Drosophila melanogaster: one gene and its partner. The gene in region 1 interacts genetically with each later gene. Each region holds a gene or a part of one and is shown on either strand. Other genes may lie near its edges.

Evidence for each region.
Region 2: of Fer3HCH (region 1) and ND-19, changing one suppresses a phenotype caused by changing the other (phenotypic suppression), as found in Drosophila melanogaster (one study listed by BioGRID).

The regions. Positions count from the first base shown.
Region 1 is NC_004354.4:13,106,790-13,110,259, reverse strand, and holds Fer3HCH (ferritin 3 heavy chain homologue), read left to right. Parts: upstream 1-2,065; 5' UTR 2,066-2,163; coding exon 2,164-2,298; intron 2,299-2,360; coding exon 2,361-2,786; 3' UTR 2,787-2,878; downstream 2,879-3,470.
Region 2 is NT_033778.4:24,662,564-24,666,083, forward strand, and holds ND-19 (NADH dehydrogenase (ubiquinone) 19 kDa subunit), read left to right. Parts: upstream 1-1,834; 5' UTR 1,835-1,883; exon of another isoform or gene 1,884-1,893; intron 1,894-1,944; exon of another isoform or gene 1,945-1,952; 5' UTR 1,953-1,987; coding exon 1,988-2,116; intron 2,117-2,290; coding exon 2,291-2,466; intron 2,467-2,529; coding exon 2,530-2,620; intron 2,621-2,673; coding exon 2,674-2,805; 3' UTR 2,806-2,876; downstream 2,877-3,520. Other genes in the region: Cpr60D (cuticular protein 60D), read right to left, coding at 400-669, 728-739; CG30161 (uncharacterized protein), read right to left, coding at 1,011-1,766; CG34214 (uncharacterized protein), read right to left, coding at 2,888-3,275, 3,335-3,393.

The DNA.
Region 1 (3,470 bases):
ATTTTCCCGCACTCATTTCCCCGTTTAACGATCGTATTTCACAGTTTTGCATGCACTGCGACTGACTGTAAATTCCAGACGATCGGGTGCTTGTAAATTAAAATTTAAATAAATAAACGCATTGGAAATTATGACCAGCAGCAAAAGTAAATGAATGTTAACTGATACACCGTTCGTATGTATTGTAAATTATTCGTATGTTGGCGACGGCGATCGAAGCCACAATTTATTGAATTGAACAATGTGCGCAAAGAAATACGTGATATTCTGAAATAGTCGAGACGGGAATACCCCTTAAGATGTAATAGATATTTTAGCAGCTTATATTTATACCAAAATTAAGATGGTACACATTTATAACACTTAATTATATACATACAATTGAATATTTTTTTAATATATAGTTTAATTTTTGGAACAAGTTTGTATGCTCTTTGAAAGAGTATCATGCCGACAATAGCTCAAATCGATTAAATATTTTCGTATGCCGTACGCTATTTTCGACCTCATGTTCAGCAAATTATGTTGGATTTTGTTTTTTTTTTTTTACCTCATATGCTGACGTTTGAGTTTTGTGTTAACACGTCGAATGTATATAAAAATTTTTTTGTGACTCCGCAGCTTAATTTAATGTTAATAATTTGTTGCACGTTTTTATGACACTGCAAACTGGATTGTTGCCATTATTTTGGAGGTGATGTAAATGTGTCGCTGAAGCTGTCACACTTGTCCAAATTAAAATCTTGTTGGCATTACGGGAGTGGAATTTGAAATTTAACTGAGTTCCGATGTGGATTTTGTTGAAATTCAATATGCTTAAGTAATTATAGAACTTTAATGCCTGTAAAATCTTCTACAAAATTCTAGAAATTTTTCTGTGTTCAAAAGCCTTTCCATTTGACCCTTAAATATTGAATAAGATAATAATTTTCATTTTTATTGCGACTGTTGCATAATGAACTAAACATGTTAATTGCCTCTATAAACACACAAGATCATATGTCATCGTTCACTTAATAAGTGTATATATTATTTAATCACAATCATAGGGAAAATTGTTTCATAATGCTTGAAAAAAAAAAACGTAAAGACTCATCTAAAAATGTTTGCTATTTTTTATTTGGGTTGTTATTGTCCAGTTCAACGATGATTTGCATAACTCCTATGTGTTTTTTTTCTCGGTTCGTTTTCCTGTGTGTCGGTGAAAATGAACCATTTATATCTTTATTATTGCCTTTTTATGGGGCGCACATGGCTTCAAGAGTCACCATTGCTTTGTTGGTTTTTTAAATGTGCGTAATGAGTGGATGTTTGTAGTAAAGTGCGAGTAGTTTTGACCACCTGGATGTTTATAGGAAATGTTTGGAAACCTCGGCTTGGGAGATCTTTACATTTTCAATACCCTAAACCTGTAAGACGCGTTGAACTCGCCTACGAAAGCATTTCATTTGAAATACAAAATATAATATTATGTTTTCTATCCTTTAATAAATTAAATTTCTTATTTTAACTTGCATTGGCTGTCGCAATTTTCTGTATCAGCAATATTTTGGGAAAAGCGTTCAAATACCCTATGAGAAAGGGTATAACACGATTATACAAAACTCGGACAAAAGTCGTCTTCCATTCACTTAATAAAAGACAATAACTGCGTTTACTTAGTGTGTCCGTGTTCGTGTGTACTTGTTGAAGTTAAAGCAAACATATCTGGACACAGATATTTAACTATATATGTACATATATACATATGTATCTGTATCTATAAGCTATACGTACGAACGTATATAGATGCGAACAAACCGAGTGAGAGATTGTGTACACACTATTGCTAAGTGGAAGTTAAGTGAAATCAGAGCCGGCAGCACTTTGAACTCCAACCCGTTGTTTTTTGGCCGTCCGAACGGTGGATCAACACCTCCTCCAGATCGCGAGATCGGAGATCGATGCGGAGATGTGAAGATCTGGATATTTGGAGATGAGATCAATGGACGAACTTAGATGGATCGTATCCGATCCATCGACACCTGTCCGAACCGACCCAGTTGCCTTTTAGACACACTGTTTGTGTTTTGACTTTCAATTCCAAATTGTATAGGTTTCTAAATTTTCAAAAACAAAAAAAAAAAAAAAAGATAGAAAAAAACTCAAAAAGAAGCAAAAGACATGGCGTGGTGCTTCCGCGACATTCGGCGCCACATGTGCATGCTGGTGCGTCAGAACTTCGCCAAAAGTTGCGAGAAGAAGCTAAACGATCAGATCAACATGGAGTTGAAGGCATCCCACCAGTATCTGGCCATGGTAAGGTTCCGCAGTCAATAGGGAATATATATATATGCATATAGTACGTTCAATACACGTAGGCCTACCATTTCGATCGCTCCGATATCAGTTCACCCGGAATGCATCGATTCTTCCTAAAGGCGAGCGTCGAGGAGCGGGAGCACGCGGAGAAGATCATGACGTACATGAACAAGCGTGGTGGTCTAATCATTTTGAGCAGTGTACCACAGCCGTTGCCCTGTTTCGCCAGCACCTTGGATGCACTAAAGCACGCAATGAAAATGGAACTGGAGGTCAATAAGCATCTGCTCGATTTGCACGCCCTGGCTGGCAAGGAAGCGGATCCGAATCTCTGCGATTTCATCGAGGCCAATTTCCTGCAGGAGCAAGTGGATGGCCAGAAGATTCTGGCCGACTATATTAGCCAATTGGAGAAGGCACAAAACCAGGTGGGCGAATTCCTGTTCGACAAGTATATGGGCAGCGGCATGCATCCTGCGAAATGAATACCTCAAAATGGACAACCATCCGATGAAGAATACGTATTATAATTGGCAAACCCATGTGTGTTCAGTAAAGATTCGTTTTTTGGCCGATCAATTGTTTTTTTTTTTTTTTTTTTGCTGCCACATTATCAAGTGGCTGGCGTAAAACTAACTCTATAAATATACTCGCTTATCGGCTCCAAGAGTTGCGCAAGATTCTAATTGAAATCGACACCGAAACTGAGTCCAAAAACAAAGCTTCACGAAATCAACAGCTAAACCCATCTGATAACCCTTTAGTTGGACCACAGTGTTGATGGTATTGGATAGTAACTCATCTGCTTTATCCAGTTCTGTAAATACGTTTCTAATCAAATGACACAATATTTCTGTTATATATATGATAACAGTTGATAATCTCGAATCTATAAAGATAAAAGTTAAAAGAAGCCTGACATTTAACTACGCTTGTTCTACCCATTATATAATAAAACACTTGGAACTTGATGATGAAGCAGTTGGTCTATATGATAAGCATTTGTGACGTATTAATAGGTTATCTATATCTATATAGATTGAGATCGTGAAAGTCGGCAAGACACGACAAATATAGTAACTCATTCATTTAGTTACATAGAATATAATATGAAATAAGTACAGAATTGCGAAACTTCGTTCTAAATCAAATTAAATTTTCCCTGATCT
Region 2 (3,520 bases), on another chromosome or scaffold:
CCCCAATGGCTTCCCTTCCGGTGAGTTCCCCCACTTTGCCCCATTTCCGCTGGGTTCCTTATTATGCGGATGACAATGCGTATTTTATGCCGCCTGTCGGCATTGATTATAAAGCTGAGTGCTGTTCGGTAACCTTTTATTTGTGCAGCAGTGTGGGATGAGGAAATCATCATCATTCCACATGACCCATTCAGGGGCTCTGTAAGCGCAATGTCTAATTGGACAGACCCTTGGATGAAGATGCTGAAGCGCTCTATGAACTGTAGCCCAACAGCTCTCAATATGAGTTCTACCAGGGGAACGTTTTATTGGAACAACAAGACATTACCTCACCACTCATTTTATGGAAAAAACCGCCGTTTTATAAGTTAAGATTAACATAACATCAAAGTCACTCGGTCACTCTTCAACCTTCGGATGGAAGCCGGTTGCATCTGCGGTGTAAGTCACGCGAATTTGCTTGCCATCTTCGCCGGGAAGGAAGTATTCGCCCTGGATGCCGTTCACATTGCCTTGAGCTTTCACTTGGATCCCATTGCTGACCGTGATCTCATGCTGGAACTGCCCAGCTCCATCCAGGTTCTGGCGGTTCTCCGACTTCAGAAGTTGCGCCTGCAGATCCTCCTCACTGCAGCTGGCCAAAACGACGAAAAGGGCAAAGATAAGGCTCTGAAATTGAGAGGTGGCTGATTATCCAATAGTCTGTTTGAAATCCGATTAAACTCACATATTTCAGCATTTTGGAGCAGCTTCTTGAAATGAAACAATGCCCGTCGGCCTTTTATACTATACTCCGAAGCTGCCTAGCCCACTAAACGGGTTTCAATCGCATCTGCTAATGAAATGACTGAGATTAACCAGACAGCCATGAATATGAAATTTGCGGCTACTCAATCGAGTCTGCTTCTGGCACCAGAAGCAGGCCAGCCTCCCCCAACTAATTGATTGCGATTTTGTTAACCCATTTTGCTACTAAAAGAACATTTAATCATCAACAATGAATTTGAAAACTATGCGCCCGCGGCCTTCGGAAGGATTTCTTGTGCAGGCTTGGAATCCCAGTCTCTATACCTAATTTCTGGATTGCTCAGAATCTTGGCCACACCCTTCAGAAAGCTTGGCTTACTGATAGTGGTTTTTCTCACAGAATCGTTGCTTTTCTTTTCCAAGGCATGCGGTATAAGTGAGGAAAAATTTAGAGATGCCTCGTTAGTAAGTGTCCCATCTGAGGATTCAATTGGCAAGAGAGACATCCCCTTATTTCGCTTGTTGTTGAACTTCTCGAGATATTTCTTGGCACCCAAACGGGCGGATGTCTTTAAAGCATTCATATCCCAGGACACTCCCAGCTTGGATTTGATCTCCTCGGAGGCAGTCTTGTCGTTCGAAGAGAACAGCGTTTGGAACATCTTCTTCAGCTCGAGGTCCTTGGGATCTTGTAGCGATCGGACTGCCCGCGGATCAATCTGCCCAATGGAATTGTCTTGGCTTTTGGTTTCCGCCTCCCGCTTGGAATCCTTGTTCAGCTCAACTAAGTCGTTTAACGACAATTTGGGGTCCAAGTTCCCTTGCAGCTGCTGGAAATCCATTTCGGGCGCATCCTTCGGCAGGTAGCCGCGGCTTTTCAGGTAAACTAGCGGCGACTGCCAGTTGTCGATGAGGTTCTTAACAATGGTGTCAACCGAATTCTCATACTTAACTACTTTTAAATTGCGATCAGCTGCAGCACTATAAAATAGACAGATGTATAAGATTAAAGAAATCATTTTAATTTAAATTGTGAGCCTGTTATCGATGACTTTGTGAAACGGCTACACTATCGATATAAATTGTTATTGACAGCTACGTCTCAGCAGCCCTGGATCTAAATCAGCTGTTGTGTTGTAAGCAAACGTAAAATTAACAAAATCCTACAATTATTTTGTTTTTTATTGAATTTCATAGCCTTTCAGGTTTTTGGTTGATCGCACAGGACTGCAACGCTATTATGGTCATCACCAACAACACAACACTGCCCGAGGAGTCGGAGCTGAACGTCCAGGAGCTAAATCTATCGTCGGCGGCCTTACGGGCAGGCGCCTTCCATTTGGGCAAGCAATGCGAGCAGGCCAATAATGTTAGTACATCCAGATTGCAGGGGAATCCTCCTGATAGTAATGCTTAGGTGAAAAGCGCCTTAAAGTGAAGCTGGGAGCCGCTGCCTCTTTAAAATCCGAGCGGCTTAGTTATATAACCTAACCTCAAAAAGCACCTTCCCCGTTTGTTTACCTTTTCCTTCGTGTAATTTCAGGAGTTTATGCTGTGCCGGCAGGAGCTGGATGACCCGCGAGCCTGTTTGGCGGAGGGCAAAGCCGTGACCAGCTGCGCCCTGGACTTCTTCCGCAAGGTGAAGAAGACCTGCCATGAGGAGTTCACGCAGTACGCCACCTGCCTGGATAAGAGCAGCGGTACTATGGCTTTTTCACAGTAAGCACTCCGTAAATGTTGAATATTCCAATCATGCTATACCAATGTCCATCCATACTTTAGTTGCCGCAAGACCCAGGGAGTGTTCGACAAGTGTATCAAAGATAACTTCGACTGGGATCGTCCCTCCTATGGATACTTCTCGAGGGCCAAGGTAATTTCTCGGCATGCTTTATTTAGACCTCTCCTAATCACTTCTGTTTTCAGGTCATCCAATCAGCTCGGGAAGCACCCAAGAAGGAGGAGAAGGTCTCCTATCCCGATGCCACCCCCGGTTTGCCCGAGGATTACCCCAAGCCGCCAGCAAAGTACGGTTCCCGCTTCCACTGGCTGGAGTAGACAGCTGCCAGCGCCTAGTGAAATTTGAAAGCGTTCATCTTAATATAAACTCTTGTTTCCATTAGTACTCGATATATTTATTTCATCGTATCTTTTTCCTCGACACAGTTTGCTTGATTTTGGCCATAATATCCAGGTACTGGTTGTTCAGGCAGCATCCGCAGTAGCTAACAGGGAAGCAGGCGCTGCCCTCGATACGGCGGAAAAGTGGCGTGTTCTGATAGAAGACCCACGAGATGTTTTCTTCGCCCAGCACCAGCATGATCTTGTCGAAGCGGACGCCCTGCACCTGAAACAGCTCCATGTCGCCGGTGATGATGCGCCACTCTGCGTAGCGTATGTTAGCATCTGGGGGCAGCTTGGAGCGCTCCCTCATCATCACATGCTCGAACCAATCGCGCACTTGGATAATCGATCCGGTGGGAGCGTGCTTTCTGATCTGGTAGCTGATGCGCGGGTACAGAGGATTTCTGCGACAGGAATGAATGAGTTTCTGGCGATCTCTTGGGTATTTATATTAATTGCTTACATGTAAGGAACAAAGGCCAGGCGCACCAGCACAAATTCAACTTTCTCTCGAGGAGCCATCTTGAAGATAATTTTATTTTTATGCGGACGACGCACTTCACAGGCACTGCTATGCAATACTAATGAACTTGGTCCACTGCTCAGACTATATATGCATAATACGCGACTTGCAGGCAGGTAGAATCAT